Macaca mulatta: one gene and its partners. The protein of the gene in region 1 binds, or shares a complex with, the protein of each later gene. Links are inferred from orthologs where the notes say so. Each region holds a gene or a part of one and is shown in the gene's direction. Other genes may lie near its edges.

Evidence for each region.
Region 2: the proteins of RAB11A (region 1) and RAB11FIP3 are in contact, whole or in part, in a crystal structure (PDB 2HV8), measured with the Homo sapiens proteins. The link is inferred for Macaca mulatta from reciprocal best matches to the Homo sapiens genes RAB11A and RAB11FIP3. Residues at the interface, in NP_004654.1 of Homo sapiens: Arg33, Ile44, Gly45, Val46, Glu47, Phe48, Ala49, Thr50, Trp65, Arg72, Arg74, Ala75, Ile76, Ala79, Tyr80, Arg82; in NP_055515.1 of Homo sapiens: Asn731, Phe732, Gln735, Ile738, Asp739, Arg740, Ile742, Val743, Met746, Glu747, Pro750, Ser751, Leu753, Glu754, Val755, Lys756.
Region 3: the proteins of RAB11A (region 1) and MYO5B are in contact, whole or in part, in a crystal structure (PDB 4LX0), measured with the Homo sapiens proteins. The link is inferred for Macaca mulatta from reciprocal best matches to the Homo sapiens genes RAB11A and MYO5B. Residues at the interface, in NP_004654.1 of Homo sapiens: Leu11, Lys13, Arg33, Glu35, Ile44, Gly45, Val46, Glu47, Phe48, Ala49, Thr50, Gln63, Trp65, Glu71, Arg72, Tyr73, Arg74, Ala75, Ile76, Thr77, Ala79, Tyr80, Arg82, Gly83; in NP_001073936.1 of Homo sapiens: Ile1627, Gln1628, Gly1629, Leu1630, Trp1706, Met1710, Arg1713, Tyr1714, Ser1717, Gln1718, Glu1721, Arg1724, Gln1745, Leu1747, Gln1748, Leu1749, Lys1750, Lys1751, Glu1755, Ala1759, Leu1763, Tyr1779, Glu1786.
Region 4: the proteins of RAB11A (region 1) and RAB3IP are in contact, whole or in part, in a crystal structure (PDB 4UJ5), measured with the Homo sapiens proteins. The link is inferred for Macaca mulatta from reciprocal best matches to the Homo sapiens genes RAB11A and RAB3IP. Residues at the interface, in NP_004654.1 of Homo sapiens: Phe36, Leu38, Glu39, Asp127, Leu128, Arg129, His130, Leu131, Arg132, Ala133, Pro135, Thr136, Leu156; in NP_783322.1 of Homo sapiens: Asn367, Thr368, Leu369, Ser370, Ile371, Glu372, Pro373, Asp412, Arg424, Thr428, Cys431, Asn432, Thr435, Tyr439, Leu444, Val445, Lys446, Gln447, Gln448.

What each region holds. Positions count from the first base shown.
Region 1 is NC_133412.1:43,316,985-43,321,254, forward strand, and holds the start of RAB11A (ras-related protein Rab-11A), read left to right. Parts: upstream 1-1,470; 5' UTR 1,471-1,587; coding exon 1,588-1,627; intron 1,628-4,270. UniProt on the Homo sapiens protein: The small GTPases Rab are key regulators of intracellular membrane trafficking, from the formation of transport vesicles to their fusion with membranes.
Region 2 is NC_133425.1:1,632,344-1,636,621, forward strand, and holds the start of RAB11FIP3 (rab11 family-interacting protein 3), read left to right. Parts: upstream 1-1,478; 5' UTR 1,479-1,606; coding exon 1,607-2,320; intron 2,321-3,628; exon of another isoform or gene 3,629-4,278. UniProt on the Homo sapiens protein: Downstream effector molecule for Rab11 GTPase which is involved in endocytic trafficking, cytokinesis and intracellular ciliogenesis by participating in membrane delivery. Recruited by Rab11 to endosomes where it links Rab11 to dynein motor complex.
Region 3 is NC_133423.1:42,113,701-42,117,653, forward strand, and holds the start of MYO5B (unconventional myosin-Vb), read left to right. Parts: upstream 1-1,153; 5' UTR 1,154-1,366; coding exon 1,367-1,393; intron 1,394-3,953. UniProt on the Homo sapiens protein: May be involved in vesicular trafficking via its association with the CART complex. The CART complex is necessary for efficient transferrin receptor recycling but not for EGFR degradation.
Region 4 is NC_133416.1:76,867,345-76,871,590, forward strand, and holds the start of RAB3IP (rab-3A-interacting protein), read left to right. Parts: upstream 1-1,446; 5' UTR 1,447-2,212; coding exon 2,213-2,250; intron 2,251-4,246. UniProt on the Homo sapiens protein: Guanine nucleotide exchange factor (GEF) which may activate RAB8A and RAB8B. Promotes the exchange of GDP to GTP, converting inactive GDP-bound Rab proteins into their active GTP-bound form.

The sequences.
Region 1 (4,270 bases):
CCCGGGTTCAAACGATTCTCGTGCCTAAGCCTCCAGAGTAGCTGGGACTACAGGCGCCCACCACCACGCCCGGCTAACTTTTTGTATTTTTAGTAGCGACGGGGTTTCACCTTGTTGGCCAGGCTGGTCTTGAACTGTTGACCTCAGGTGATCCACCCACCTCGGCCTCCCAAAGTGCTGGGATTAAGGCGTGAGCCACCGTGCCCAGCCCTTTTTCCACTTTTAAGTACTCTTACGACAACACTGGGGTCACCCAAATAATCCAGGATAATATCCCTAATTTAATGTCAGCTGATTAGCAACCTTAATTTCATCTGTAACCTCAATTCCCCTTTGCCATGTAACCTAACCTATTCAGTCTCTGGGAATTGGGAAGTGGACATCATTGGCAGGTGGTATTCTTCTGCTTGTTCTAGGCACACTTGCCCACAAGTCTAAATCGAGAGTTTGCATATAGGAGGTAGGAGGTGTGACAATAATTGGATAAAGGCTTTTCTGGAATTACAAAATTCTCTTCAAATACAGGGAGGCCCTGCGGCATGATATCTGGCAAATCACTTGAGTCTTAGTATCCAAATTTCCGCTAAAATGGAAATTGCCATCCTTTGCTCGGCATATTAAATGAAATACTTATGTAAACGGACTTAGATTAGAGGCCTACAAATAGGACTCAAGTTCTTGATGAATCTTGATGAGGAGGGTGGGCGAAGTACTCTAAATGAAAACGAGATAGACTGAGAGATTTCCGGAGAGGAGTGAGTGACAAGCGCCTACCCGTGCATGAAGCTGGAGGTAGAAAATTCCAGCAAAAGGAATTTTCAAGTTTCATTGAAGCTTCTGAATTAAAGTTTGAGGGGCCAGGGTTAAAAAAAAAAAGGTAGTGAAGAGGCTCATTAAGACAACCCCCGCCAGGTAGCAGATAGTACCTCAAATGCAGTGGGAAATTTGTGAGTTCTTCATAGGCAAGGATTAAATTTTACATCTCCATGTTAATATATGTCATAGTTGTTCAATTACTTAGTGAACAAAAAAGTTGTTAAGGAAAAAAAAAAGCACCAATGCAGGTTCCACCGAGATTTGAACTCGGATCGCTGGATTCAGAGTCCAGAGTGCTAACCATTACACCATGGAACCGCCACGCATATGTAGTTGCCTTCGGCTCTCTGATCCTTAGACAACCCCGCCCCCATCCACAAACCCACCACTCACAGGCGGTCCCGCCCGGTTCCAGCGAGTCGCTTCCGGGCACGGTAGCTCGAGAAATAAGCAAGAGGCCACTAAGACCACGGTAGCTAGGAATTCCAGGACTCAGTTTCCCCTTTGAGCCTCCTTTAGCGACGAAAGTTTGAAGCCCCACGCATCGCGACTCTCGTGCATACCGCCCTTCTTGGGTTCAGGGACGGGGAGCCGCCCCCGGAAGTACTTCCCCTTAAAGGCTGGGGCCTGCCGGAAGTGGCGCAGCGGCAAGGAGGGGCTCTTCACCCAGTCCGGCAGTTGAAGCTCGGCGTTCGGGTTACCCCTGCAGCGACGCCCCCTGGTCCCACAGATACCACTGCTGCTCCCGCCCTTTCGCTCCTCGGCCGCGCAATGGGCACCCGCGACGACGAGTACGACTACCTCTTTAAAGGTGAGGCCATGGGCTCTCGCACTCTACACAGTCCCCGTTCGGGGACCCGGGACACACTCGGCGGACGTGCCGGCCACCCGTGCACTGATAGAGGCCTGCCTCAGCCCTTCCTTTTTGTGTGGTTCCGTCTCCTACCCAGCTCAGCTTCTCTCCTCCTCAGACAGGGGTCCCCATCACATGCCGCTCTCTGAGCGACCTCTCCGTGGGCCTTGGCTGGCCTCACAGCCCCTCCCTGCGTGTCCTTCCCCTGGCGGACTGCCTTCTCGCATATCGTCGAATTCCTTTCCCTGGGTTCTGCGGCCCCGCCGCCCCTCCCACCATCTCTCTTTTCGGGTGTAGCGCCCCCTCCCCCTCAGCGTACACCTTTCCCGGCTGGCGTCCTCTCCCGAAGCCCCTGTGACGGGTTCTTCGCTTCCCTCTTGGCCTTGCCTTCGGTGCAGACTCCCACTACAGGTCTTTTCTTATCTGCCCCCTTTCCCCCTCGAGCGAGCCTCTTTTCTGCATATCTCCTCCCCTTGTTCGGCCCCCCCTCTAAGCTTCTCGCATCCCGGGTCCAGGACCCGGTAAAATCTGAGCGGGCCAGGGGTCCCCACCCCCACCCTCCGCCCCGCGGTTCTCGCGGTCCTTAACCTTCTCTGACCGCTCCCTCCCCCACTCCCCATTTGGCAACTCTCTCTACCTTCCCTCCCCAGATCGTGTTTAGAGCTCCCTGGTCTCCGTTGCGACCCGGGTGGTGGGAGGGTAAGAGGGATCGACCATCACCCAGTCGCGCACTTGTCGCAGTGACCCGGCAGGCTGACATTACTTCCCACCTAGCCTTTTATTATCTTGCTCTCCCTACTCAGTGGCACACAACCCGGGATAACTCTTTACTCGGTTCGCGAGAAGAGGTTGCGGATGGGTGGTGGCTGTTATCCTTGCCAGACCTGAAGGCCCGGTTCCTGAGCAGGAAAGGTTGTGCGCTGCACAAATACTAGCTTGCTTTATCTCTATGGACTGGTTGCTTCCTGCTGCAACACTGGGAGGATCCAACAGGAAGGGAAGAGCCCTAGTTGGCCACATACCTTTCCCAAAAGGTTGGGGGTAGGAAGGAAGTTGTGTGCTCTTTTGGTCACATTAAATATTTATTATAAGGTACGGAAACATGTAGTGCCCTTGGATAGAACATATCGGAGGGTCAGGGTTGGTTAGAAAGAATTGCTTATTGGTTGAGTCCGGAAGGAATCCAATTTTTTTTTTTAGTCAACGAAGATAAAGGGTACATTTTTCAATAAGAAGAAAGTACAGTAGATGCTTTTATTGTTCAGTGAATGTACTCTCACTCTGATGCTCTTTCTCTGCTCCTGAATTGGGAAGGTAGCCATCAGTAGTGTGCTGAACAAAGATCATTACCACTGAGGAAGAAGCCATTGCTATTAAAGCTTTACTGTGGAGGGTGGAGTTTAAAGAGTGTTAAGCATGGTGACTGTTTCTGTCTTTGCCATTGGGTGCTAAGAATGATTGACTAAACCAAGCAGGAAAGATTTGTTTGCTTTCCCAATACTTTGCAAATCTTGTTATACTAGCCTGCTGTTGTACTCTTGTCGTCTCTTACGCCTCTGACCCAGAATATTCTATTGTATAGGGTGAATACTTTTGGTATCCCCCCTCCACCCCATGCTGGAAAGTACTTTCAGGGTACTTAGTTCATTTTACAAATACAAAACTCAGACCTGGATTACAGAAAGTATACTATAGCATACGTTTTGCCGAAGGTATCTGAGATGATGTGAAATTATTTGAATCTCTTGAGACTTTGGGGTTAAAGGGAGGTTTGTGTTTTAAAATATGGTATAATGGTAGTGTGCCTTTATAAAGGCTGTCTTTGAAGTAATTAATTCAGAACAAGATAGACCGTCAGGGTATTTCTCCTATTTGGTTTGAACTGGAATGTTGGTTATACAAGGTCCTTTTATTTTTTAACAAAGAATATTAAATATTCTGAATTGGCCTAAAGTATTTCAGCTTTTTGATTAGACCATCCTTCTAGCAACGATTGAGAGCACCGAGCTTTGGAATTAACGTAGATTTCGGTTTAGATCCTGACTCAGGTCTTATATTTACTATATGACCTTGGAAAAGTTAACTTTTCTGAGTCTCAGTTCTCTCATTTATGTAAAGGAAAATACCTGTCTCTTAAGATTGTTGTGAGAGTTAAATGAGACTATTTGTAAAATTTTAACCATGAGGACTCAATAAATGGTAATAATGTGAAAGAAGTTACTGTGGTTTTGTCAGTTTTTTTTTTTTTTTTTTTTTTTTGAGACAGGGTCTCGCTCTGTCCCCCAGGCTGGAGTGCAGTGGCACAATCAAGGCTCACTGCAGTCTCGGCCTCCTCAGGCTCAGGTGACCCTCCCACCTCAGCCTCCCTAGCTACTCTCTAGCTCCTAAGAGTAGCTGAGACTACAAGAGTGCAGCACCACGTCCAGCTAATTTTTTTTTTTTTTTTTGTAAAGACAGGGTTTTGCCATGTTGCCCAGGCTGGTCTCGCACTCCTGGACTTAAGCAATCCACCTGCCTCAGCCCCCGCCAAGTGCTGGGATTATAGGCGTGAGCCAGTGTGCCTGGCCTTTGTCGGTTTTTTGAACCTTAAATGTAGGTTCA
Region 2 (4,278 bases), on another chromosome or scaffold:
GGAGGGGGACCCCTCATCTTCCTTTTCCCAATGCCAGCCTCACAAAGTCTGGTCCCATGTCCCCTGAGATTATGCCACGGGAGATGACTCACTCAATTAATACGCTGCTCCTGACCGTACACTTGGAAGCAGAGGTTCCGTTCCTTTGATTTTTGCCAAAGCTGCTTACGAAACCGTATCTTGTGTTGGTGCCCAAGGTGTGTAAAAATACAAGTTCATCATTTCCCTGATACAAATCACGACAGGCTAAATTTAGTGCCTCACCTGCTCCTAACTAGTCTGTCCCACCGTCATGCCTGCCGCCAGGCTGTGGTCCTGTCTGAGGTTCTGTGTCCCTCTGAGGACAGGGACACCTAGACACAGAGGTCAGTTGTCAAACGCGGCCACGGTGCTCGTGAGGCTGGCTGCAGACGGGCGATTAACGCTGGGTGTCTTCTTTAGTCTTATTTTCTTGTAAAGACGAGGTCTCGCTTTGGTGCCCAGGTTGGTCTCGAACTCCTGGGCGCAAGCGATCCTCCTGCTTGGGCGTGGGGCACCGCGCCCGTCCCAACGCTGGGCGTCTTGGAGACCTTGGTCACAGGCTTAAGGGAAAGGCCTAGCGCGTGGCCGCGCCTGCCTCTGGTTTCGAGGGACATGGACTGCGTGTCTGGGGCCCCTCCGCACTCCGTGTCAGACCCTGCGTCCGCCGGGTCAGCGCGGGGTCTGGGTTGGGCCTCGCCCTCTGCAGCGTCTGCGCCTCACAACCCCTGAGGCACCTGCGACCCCTGGGCCGCGGAGCCAGGAGTGCGCCGCCTCCTGGTCTCATCAACGTGAGAACGCTTTACCCCGGAAGGGCTCAGCTCCCAGGGGGCTATGTCCCTGTGCGTCTCTCGCTCGCCGCGCGGTGCCGTTTACTCGTCCGCACCATGCGTGGGTCGCGGTCTCGGTTGCGCCCGCTGGTAGCTGTACGTCGGGAACCGTTCTAAGTAAGGTTTGACTCCGCGCGCCCCTTGCCAGGGACGTCACGTCACGCCACGCCTCCACTCGCAGCCTTGGAGCACCCCGGCGTCCCGCGCCTGAAGCTCGAGACCCCAGCTCCGGCGAGACGAGGCATACAAGACAGCGGAACACCCCCCGCAGCCGCCGCACTGCCGCGACACTCCCGGCGCCTGCCTTTATAGGAAGCCGGCGAGGGGCTGGGGCACCGCCGGGACGTGCTGACGTCAAGCCCGACGGAGGGCGGGGCCGGGGCAGCGGCGGCGGCGTTAGTTCTCCGGGTACCTCAGGAGTCTCAGCCTCCTTAGTCTCCTCATCCTGCTTCACAGGCTGCGCGGCCTCCGGTGTCCTCGGCCCCCGTCCGCTGTCGCCCGCCGCCCGGCCCCTCGCCGCCCTCCCTAGGCCGCCCCGCCGCCATGGGCCTGCGCCCGCCTCGCCGCCGGGCCGAGGGCAGCTGAGGCGCGGCGCGAAGATGGGCGAGGACGGAGCAGGGCCCGAGCGCCAGCCCCAGCAGCCCGGGCGCCCCGCGCGCGCCCGCCCGCGCCGCCGAGGGGATGCCCGCGCCCGCCGCCGCGCCCTGAGCGCCTTTGTCTGCCGCCCGCGCCCTCCGCACCACTAGCCTCTGAGGAGCATGGCGTCGGCCCCGCCGGCCTCGCCCCCGGGCTCGGAGCCGCCGGGGCCCGACCCGGAGCCGGGCGGGCCGGACGGGCCGGGGGCGACGCAGCCGGCGCCGGGCCCTGCGGAGCTACGCCTCGGAGCGCTCGCCGCTGGCTCCGATCCGGAGCCCCCGGGCCTGGATGAGCCTGCACCCGGAGCCGCTGCGGATGGCGGGGCGCGCTGGAGCGCCGGGCCGGCCCCGGGGCTGGAGGGAGGCCCGGGGGACCCCGGGGCGCCCGCCCCGCCGCCACGCTCCGGCCCGCTGGGGCAGCTCGAGAGCCCGGAAGCCCCGGGCCCAGGGCGCCGCTCCGAGGCGCCGCTTCCAGAACTCGACCCGTTGTTCTCCTGGACTGAGAAGCCCGAGGAGTGTGGCCCCGTGGGCTGCCCGGAGAGCGCGCCTTACCGCTTGCAGGGGTCCAGCAGCAGCCACCGAGCGCGGGGCGAGGTCGACCTCTTCTCTCCCTTCCCCGCGCCCACGGCGGGCGAGCTGGCGCTGGATGAGGGTCCCGGGTCCCCGCCGCAGCCCTCGGATCTCAGCCAGACCCACCCCCTTCCGAGCGAGCCCGCGGGGAGTCAGGAGGACGGCCCCCGCCTCCGAGCCGTGTTCGATGCCCTGGACGGGGATGGGGACGGTTTCGTCCGCATCGAGGACTTCGTCCAGTTTGCCACGGTCTACGGGGCAGAGCAGGTACGGAGCGGCCCGGGCCGTGGCGTGGGAACCGGGCAGGTGCGCGTCTGGCCTGCGGGGTTGATGTGGGACCGGTCGACGCGGCCCATGGAGTCGGCAAAGGCATTGTCAAGACCTGCGAGTCCTGCTTTTGCTGCTTATTCACCACTTCGGCCCTGGTTTTCTGGTTGAATTTCACTGGAGTCCCTATTCCCTTCTTAAAAGGAGGTTCTATTCTGGGGAGTCAGTTTTTTCCCATCCCCCCATCGCCCCGTCAGCTGGATCTTACAGAGGTCTGCTCCTGGCCTGGGGACACCCCCCCAGGGTGCCTGATCGACGTGCCCCTGAATGAAAAAGTTCCCCGCGATTCCCTCGCCCGAGGGCCCAGATACTGCTTGGCTGAATTTACCCAAGTTCGAGCCGCAGAGGCCAGGCTGCCCAGACACCTTGAGATCCTACTGATAGATACCTATTTTGAGCACAATTACTTTACTGTGCGTGGTTGACATCTTTTCTACTTAGATTTAATCTTTTATTGTTTGGGAGACAGTCGATGCTTGTAGAAGGTCCTGGAATTAAGAATTTTTACTTTGGTGCCTTTGGGGAGGAAGGGAATGAGCCTCTGAGCTTGTTGGCAAATACAGAAGTCTAGCAGAACTCCATTACGGCCACCTCCACTCTAGCAGGAGAGGTGAAATGCGTGGACAGGCACTGCGCACAATACAGTGTGGCAGGGGTCCGCGCGGTCCTCAGGGCGCCTGCTCCTGGGGGGAAGGTGGGCCGGAAGATGCAGTCATTGCTATCTACCTCAGCACTTAATAAGTTTAAGTGGAGATAACAGCAGGGCTGTGTGTGTTCTGCCAATAACCCAGTGGACATCAAATAATACCAGCGCTCACTTTTAAATAGTTTACTTTGTAGGAAATCCCTAAGGTGCATCTGTCAATTTTTTGTATTTTGTTGACTTCTCACACATGCAGGCATATGGTAAGTGGGTGTTCAAGTACATATGCATGTTTAAGCCAAAGGTCTGTAAGAAAAGAGGTAAAATTGGCACACTGCTATTTAGGGTGTCAGTCATAACATTAAGAACCTTGATGGGCAGGCGCGGTGGCTCACGCCTGTAATCCCAGCACTTTGGGAGGCCGAGGCGGGCGGATCACGAGGTCAGGAGATCGAGACCATCCTGGCTAACATGGTGAAACCCCATCTCTACTAAAAAATACAAAAAAATTAGCCGGTGTGGTGGTAGGCACCTGTAGTCCCTGCTATTTGGGAGGCTGAGGCAGGAGAATGGCCTGAGCCCAGGAGGCGGAGCTTGCAGTGAGCTGAGATTGTGCCACTGCCCTCCAGCCTGGGCGAGAGCGAGACTTCCATCTCAAAAAAAAACAAAAAAAAAAAAAAGAAAAAACAGGGGCCTGATAAATCAGTGTTCCTTACTGAGTTCACACTAAGAAGGTGTACAGACAGGTTGCCTGTGGGGCAGCCTGCACTGCTCACGTGCTTAGCTCCAGTTGGGATATTGTCAGGATAGTTTTCCACCTACTCTAATGGGCAGTAAAATATGTGACTGATACTTTCCGGTATCGTCAGTGTGGATGGTGGTTGCTGGTCTAGGTGTTTTGCTGTGTTTCCTTCTTGCCTCTGACCTGGAGAGCACCTTGAGCTCCCTTGGTTGCTGTTGGCTAGTGCACTGTGTCTTCTCTCAAACATACTCTTGCTTTAGTACAGCAAAGAAGGCAGGAGAGTACCACCTTTGCTCCTTGTTACCATAACCCAACTTTGATAGAGAGCTTCTGTGAGGCTCAGGTATGTTTCCACTGGATTATACCACAGTTCTCTGAGATGGTAGGCAAGCATGATTCATCCCCACTTTGCAGGTAAGAAACCAGAAACTCAGAAAGGTTAATGTAGCTCTCCCAAGGCCTCACAGGGGTAGAACTAGATCTTTTGGCTCTTAGACCTTAGATGCCTCTTCT
Region 3 (3,953 bases), on another chromosome or scaffold:
TCCTTGGGTTGGGGCCTCTTCCTTGGATCGCTTAAAGCTCCCCAGTTGACTCTCATTGTGGAGGCGCCCACGGGAAGGCCTGCACAGGTGAATTACAACGGGATCTTGCGTTCCAGGTGGGATGCCTTTGAGAATCACCCTCTGAGGCTCCTAAACAACTGCCCCGGCTGGTATAGATAGATCTTCTGGTGGAGAACCACTTTTCAGGGGCCACCCCTGGTTCAGGGACACATGCCACCTTCAGAAGGGAGTGTCTCGTCTGACAGCCCTGGTCTCCTTCCACAGACTCCTGGCAGTCTTTTTTTTTCTTGACTGAAATTTCTACTTTTCACTGGAAGTAGGAAAAGAGCTGAAGTTGCTGTAGGCAGCCAAGTGCCATGGGCAGAGAGGGAACACAAATAAACGAGGTAGTGAGTGGCAGAAAGACCGGGAGTCTGCATGTAGGAGAGACGGGGGTTGGGAGAACGTGAGACTTCCCGGAAAAGCAAGAGCCCTCTGAGAGGAGTGGCCTGGAGTCTCCTTGGAGGCTGTGGGCGAAAGTGGCCAATATTTGTACAGAAGAAGTTACGACTCCCACCTTTCTGACGGATTTCCGCGCAGAGAGTTCAGTTTGAAGGAGAAGATCCTTGGTGTACGTATGTCCAGGTCGCCTTAATAACGATCTACGAGTAACTGAATTTTAATGAAAGCGCTGAATACAGCCAGGTAAAATCGAGGGCAACGTCCGGGGCCTTCCAGCCATAGAAGTTTCTCTCTTTTCCCCGCTCTCTGGTTAGTTCCTCTCCCCTTTTCTTGTGTGCACCGCGTGCGTGCCGGACTCCGCCGGGCCGGGTGCGGGTGGAAGAGCAGGTGCTGGCACCGGGGCGCACCTGTGCCTGCGCGTGCGGCGTCCAGCAGGGGGCGGCCCGCGCCGGTCCCCGAGCTCCGCTCTGAGCGCCCCGCCCCCGGCCCGGAGGCCCAGGTGGCAGCGGGGGCGCGGGAGGGCGCGTCGGGCCGGGCACCGGCAGGGCTCAGAGGCGCGGCGGCGCACGGGCAGTCCGCTCTGACGCGCGCGGGTCCTCCCTCCTCGCCGGCCCTCGCCTCCTCCCTACACCTGGGCGGGGAGCGGCGTCGCGCTGCCTCCTCCCCCGGCGCTCGCAACTCCTGTCCGGCCGCTGCTGCGCCGCCGCCGCAGGAGTAAAGGTCGCGCCGCCGGGAGCGAGCCGGCCGCTGTGCCTCCGGGAAGCCGGCGGGGCAGATCGGAGAAGAGCGAGAAGATCGAGAAACTCCAGGCCAGCCCAGGAACATGGCGCCAGGCGGGCCGGCCGCGGACTGAGAGCCGCGGTGCAACGGGGAGCCGGGGCTTGAGCCCCGCCCAGCCCGGGCCATGTCGGTGGGCGAGCTCTACAGCCAGGTGAGCGCAGCCGCGGGAGAGGCGCCGCGGGGCCGGGGCGGAGCGCTCGGGGCCACCTGGCACTCAGGGTCGCCTTCTCCCTCGGCTACTGGAGGCGGGAGGTGACGGGAGACCCCTCCTGGTGTCCCCCGCGTCTCCGTCCTCGGCGTCCCTAACTTCTGTTGGCGGAGAAAGTTTAGCGGTTCCGGGAACGCCCGCACTGACCGGCCGCCCGGCTCCTGGAGATTCCGCAGCGCCACGGCTCAGCCCCAAGCCGGTGCTGTCGCCCCCTCCCCGCCGCGCCCCTCACTTTCGTTGCCTGGGCTGGGTTCCAGCTGAGTTCCCCGAACCGCGGGGGCGACTCTGCCAGCTCTGAGCGCCGTGCTCGGACGGTCCCCCGCGGTGCGCCCGCCGCTGTCCCCTGTCCCCGCCGTGGACCCCGCCCCAGGGGTTCTGCGGCGCCGGCTCTCGAGGGTTCGCCTCCGAGGCGTCCTTTCCTCACGCATACCCACAACAGGGAACCCTGGACTTGGGAGAGGTGGGGGTTCTGGACTTGGTGGAGAGGGAGGAGACTCAACCTGGCGTGAGGGCGCGGCAGCTGGATGGAGTGGGGGTAAGCGATGGGTAGAGGGGTGCTCCGTTATCTCCGGAGACCCCAGGGAAGAGCATTGTGAATTTGCTGGGGATGGGTATTTTGACGCGGCCCCTCTGGTACCAAGAGAGCTTCAGTGACTGTGGGGAAGGGGGTTGGAGTAAAGCCGAACTGGGAGCAGGGTGTGAGTTTCAGGATGCCTTCAAGGTCAGAAGGGATGTGCGAGGCTGGGTGCTCCGAATCCGGAACAGGTGCAGCCTGGGCGGAGACGCCCGCGTTCCGCAGCAGTTGCTGTGGTTAAAGTTAGGGACGAGCCACCGCTTCCAGGGGAGCTGGAGGCAGCGCTGCAGCCGTCCGGGACCCCTCAAGTTTCACCCTGGAGTCAGGAGTGAGATGGGCAAAGGCCTTTTCTTCACATGTGCCCTTTAGGAAAACAAGTTTTGGATAGTCCAATGCCTGGTTTTCCTGTTCATCTTCTTGGGTGGCCAAAACACATACGACAGTGCCTGTGCACACGCCTCCGTGCAGAGTTGTGTGTGCGTGTGGTGTCCGCGCGCGTTGTGTGGGTGTGCGATTCCCGGGACACCTGCCCGGGCCATCAGGTCTGGGCTGGGTAGGAACAGTCACTTCTGCGTCCTTACCTGGAGAGCACTCGCGGCTGTCCAGCACATGTGGGGGAGCCCTTCTGCTCCGTGAACTGGCAACCCTTCTAAGTTTGAGGAATTTTAAACTCTCGCCTTCCTCCTGGAGCGGGGAGCAGGGCCGGGATGGGTTCACGCTCATGAAGGTGGCCGCGGAGGCTGTCACCTGGCTGGGGGTGGGGACGCAGCAGCCTCAGATACTACTTCCTAGCCCACCAGGGACCTCCTGTGCAGCGATCAGGGATGGGCGACGGCCTCTGGGGGAGGAGGGGAGGAGGCGAGGAGGCGAGGAGGCGGGAGCCAGGGCGTCAACTCTGTGGCAGTCCTAGGCTTGGAATGGCACTCCACCCCTCTTGGCTGTGGAGGTATTGGGAGGATCCCTAAAAGCTCAGGTTTTTTCCCTGAAGCCGGTTAGGTTTCAGGAGCTGGGACTGGAGGCTGGAAGCCAGTGAAGGCAGGGGAAAAATCTGAACTGGAGTGCTCAAAGCCGAAGCTTTGTTACATTAAAGTGCATGGAGATGCAAATTGTACTCCTAAGTAAAAGGAATGACTCAACTGAATATACCTCCAATGTGTCAAAGTCCTTTGTCAGGCAATATTGAATTGCTGTTATTATATGAGGGGGAGAGTTTGTGGGGTAAAATGGAGTTAAAAGTTTAAAAATATAAACTTTATTTCTCAACGCAATTTCCATCAAGGTCAAGACACTTTTGAAAGTTATACCAGCCACCTAGTTCGTCCCTAAAGAACCGAGGGTCCTGGGAATTTAACCATGCCAATGCAGTCTTACATTATTAACTGGAAAAGATGCAGGTCATTAACTTCGAGATTAGGACACAAAGTCAGAAGGAGCCAAATCAGGACTGTGAGGTGGACGCCTAATAGTTTTCCGTAGAAACTCTTGCAAAATTGCTCTTCTTTGAGAGGAATGAGGAGCATTGTTGTGGCAGAAAATGACTTTTCTGGTGACGTTTCCTTGGTGTTTTTCTGCTAAAGCTTTGACTTCCTCAAGACACTTGTAATAAGCAGATGTCATCATCATTTGGTCTTCTAGAAAGTCAAGCAAAATGGCTTGAGCAGTCCTCCAAAATGCTGCTATGATCTCTGCTCTGAACCAGTCCACCTTTGCTGTGACTGGACCTCTTTCACCTCTTGGAAGTCTTTGCTTTGATTGGGCTTTGTCTTCAGGATTATACTGGGAGAGCCACATTTCATCCCCTGTTACAATTCAAAGAAATGCTTCAGGGTCTTGATCCCACTTGTTTAGAATTTCCATCCAAAGCTCTGCTCTTGTCTGCAATTGATCTGGGTGCAGCAGTTTTGGTATCCATCAAGTGGGAACTTTGCT
Region 4 (4,246 bases), on another chromosome or scaffold:
AAAATGTTTGATGAATGAATGACCAGCTACGTGGTGTAAGGGAGAACAGTTAGGAGTCCGTTAATAAGAAAGGTCATTTCTAATGGCAATGAATATCAGGTAAGATATATTTAAGAATTATTTAGAAATTAGGATGAATAAGACTTGGTGATATATTGGTGACGGGGTATAAAATAAGAAAAACTGACTTTCTAGGTTTCTGGATTACAGATGCATGATAATAGTTATAATGGTATAATAACAATAGCTAATATTCATCAGGCACCCTGTGTCATGAAGTATGCAAAGTGTTTACATGAATTAAGTCATTTAAACTCTCAATGACTTAGCGAGGCAGGTTCTTGTATACTCATTCACTGATGAGAAAACTGGGGCTAGAGATTCATTTGCCTAAGGTCACTCAGCTAGCAGGTGGCAGGCTCAAACCCAGTAATTCTGACTCCAACAGCCATACACATAGTCTACTTTTCTTTACTGCCTCTAATAGATGAGATTAATACCCAGAATGATGGTTCTATTCAATATGTGTATCACATAAATTGCACGTTTCTCTTTTGCTAAACATAGAGACACATACTATGAATGCCTCTTTATTTTTTCCGATTTTTGGGATCTTGGCTCTTTCTGTATTTTTCCTACCTGGAAGACTTAAAGTGGGGTGGAAGTTTGATAAAACAGTTGGCACAAAAGATGAGAGAAGACAGGTACAGGCGTGACATTCTCGAACGCTCTGGCAGTTGCTGGAATGATGGGATCTGGGTTCTACAGGATTCCTCCCCTCCCATCCCCCGCCACACAAACACACACACACACACGTCGTAAGATGTATATGGCCGCGGAGTCTCAGGTTGGTTCTAGGAGTCCTCAACTCACGGCGAAGGTGCCTCTTCTCCCTTCTGGAGAGCCCAACATGCCTGAAGTCAACCTGAGGTGGCCTCTCGGGCCCCGGGAAACAGCGCAGCTCGGGCTCGCCCTTGTTCCCAGGGAAACCGCCCGCGGAGGAACCTGGGGCCAGGCCCGTGACAGCTGCGACGAGCCCCGCCTGGCGCCAGGGGGCGCGGAAGCGCGTCCGCCCCCAGGCCCCACGCCGGGCCCGCCCCGCCCCTGCCGGCCACACCCCCCCGCCCCGCCCACCCTCCGTGAGGACCGGCCGCTCCCAGCTCCCGGCTCCCGGCCCCGGGCCCCGGCCCCGCTTCCGGCGCAGGCGCAGTCCCGCGTTCCCTCGGCGGCTGCCGGCGTAGTGAGCCCGCCACCGTGGAGTGTAGCGGCAAGGGCTCGCCGTCCTCCTCCGCCTCTCGCTGCTTCGGGGCGCGCTCTCTGCGGCTCTGTGAGCGCCCGTGAGCGCCGGCAGCGGCCGCGGTGGGTTCGTCAGGTGAGTGTGGCCGCGGGAGGGAGAGGCCCGGAGCGTGGAGCACCGCCCCCCTCGGCGCCCGCGCACCCGCCTCCGGCGAGTCGGCCAGGAGGGGCGGCCGCGGCAGGTGCAGGTGCCGGCGCCGTGGAGGGCGCGGCGCGCGGGGGTTCGGCGGGATGCCCCGGCCCGGTGAGCGCGCTCTCCGCCTGGGCAGTTGGGCTCCGGGCTCTTGGGGGCGGCGTGTGGGGGGACCTCGGCGCCCCGGGTCAGCCGGCCGCCCCCTGGGCTGCTGGTGGGCGCCGGGCGGCGGCTCCTCCCCCGGGCACGGGCGCGTTACACATTAACTGCGCGGTCCCGCGCGCCCGGGGCAGGGAGCCGGAGCCCGGCGGGTTACCTGGCGGCGGCCGGGAGCGGCCGGGAGCGGCCGGGAGCGGAGGGCCGGGGTCGCGAGGGGGATGAAGACGGAGTTCCCGAACAAGTCGGTAGCCGCTCACAACACCGGGCGCCGCGCGGCAGGGCTGTGGACGGGGCAATAGCTGTGGACCTGGGGTGGTTTCGTGCCCCAGTCTTAGGAAACGACGCTAGAGGCACCGTGCTGAGGCGTAGAGGTCACCCTCGGGAGGTTTCGGTGAAACCTGGTGGGAAATTCCGGGCAGGCGCCCGGAGTCGCGTCCGAAGAGGCAGCTCCTTGCAGCCAGACTTGTGTTCGGGGGAGTTGAGACGAGCTGCACGGATGGGATTGCACGGCTTTGCCCTCCCAGCGTTGAAAACTCGCCCCGACCGCCCGGGGAAGCGCGAGCTTCCTCGCTCCAGAATTGATGCTGGGTGGAAGCCGCAGCATGTAAAGAGTTGCCGGTTGTTATGGGATTAAAAAAAGATATATCTACAATGGCTAAAGGGTAAGGTCTTGAAAGACAAGAGCGCTGAGTTAGTACTGATTACTGAGAGGCAATTTAGTTTCATGGAAATGTTGCCTGTTCGGAGGCTACCTGTTATACACTCTCATGTTTCACCCCAACTCCTTCCTTTCAGTGTCGGGTTAAAAGCCTTGTAATCTCTTGCAGTGGAATGATTGCATAATTGGAGGAGGGGCCCGTAAGAGGATTACAACAAAACTGTTCCTTTGTAAATCAATTGAAAGACCCAGTTCTTGTTCATTATCCTTTTTCTCATTTTGTTGTTCATGAAGGTTTTTTTTTTTTTCCCCCCAGTGGTGAATGACAAATCAAGGAGAAAAGAGGCAGAATAGGTTTGTAGACCAATCGTAGTAAATATTTGATACTGTTAAATATTTCACCAGTTTTATGGGGCCTTGTACTATTACCATTTGTTATTTATTTACTAGTACTGTGCATTTTGATAGGACTTTTCGTGTTTGGACATTGTATTCCAGATATGGCTTATGTGATCTAATGCTAAAGCCCTTGTGGAATTTATAGAAATAAACAGTTATACAGTTAAGTAGTCCATTTTTTAACTATTGAAGGAAAAGCCTTTCATTTTTTTCCATTGCAGTAATGTTATATATTGATGTATACCTTTGTGAACCAAAGTGTTTAATATAAATCTTCCTTCCGTATTTGGCAGACAACTCATCTGTGGTATTGAATACTTGTAACCTTTCACCAGGATGGCCATTTAATGTTTAGCTGCTTTGTGGGTTTTCTGACTAGATCCTATTGTACTTTTTGAATTAGTGTAATTATCCATATGCTTCCTTTAATATTCTTTTTTTTTTTTTTTTTTTTTTTTTTTTTTGAGACGGAGTCTCGCTCTGTCACCCAGGCTGGAGTGCAGTGGCCGGATCTGAGCTCACTGCAAACTCCGCCTCCCGAGTTCACGCCATTCTCCTGCCTCAGCCTCCCGAGTAGCTGGGACTACAGGCGCCCGCCACCTCGCCCGGCTAAGTTTTTGTATTTTTAGTAGAGACGGGGTTTCATTGTGTTAGCCAGGATGGTCTCGATCTCCTGACCTCGTGATCCGCACGTCTCGGCCTCCCAAAGTGCTGGGATTACAGGCTTGAGCCACCGCGCCCGACCTAATATTCTTTACCTTTGATCCTCCCCCAACACACACATCCTCTGCAAATACTTTTTAAAATGGAAATGTTCTTAGAAATCTGTTTCACCCCCTCATTTTTTAAACATGGCAGGAAAAAATACTTTGTAGATTATAGTAGTTTTATATGCATTATAGTAGTTAGTATATTTTTTTCCCCCTCAGCAGGAGTCAGTGAACAAATTAGTGAGCTGGCTGAATGAAAAATTATTTAATGTTCAGTTCCATCACTTACTGTGCATAAAACCTTGAGTAAAACATTTAACCTATTTGAGCTTATTTTCTCCATTTGTCAGTGGAAATACTATTAGGTTGAAATTGCTAATATTCTGCTGTTTTTTATGTTTCAACCTAATATGAACTTCATAGTGGTGAGATGAGGATTTAATAAGATACTCCATTAGAGATGTGGGGAAGGGGAGAAGGAACCAATGTGAGCTTGCTTGTGTGCAAGGCACTGTGCGTGCTTGTTTTCCATACCTTGACTCCTCAGTCCTCTGGACATTCCTGGGATATAGGTGACTTGTCAAATTTTACAAATCAGGAAATGGAGGCTTAGAAAGTTGCGGTAATTTGTCTGTAGTTACTTAGTTGTAGGTGGTCGTACAGCTGGCCAGTGACAGAGCCGGTATTAAAAACTGTATCCAACTGCCCAAAAAGGAACTTAGTGCTTTTATTCCTTACATTCCCAGTCTGCACTTTCTATTAAAGAACTTTGTAACTATAAGGAGGCACACAGAGTGACAAGTGTTACCATTTGTATTTCTGGTTTAAAAATACCCAGGTTTTCTAATGACGGTGATACCAGCCTTGCTACTACAGTTACTTTTAAGTCTA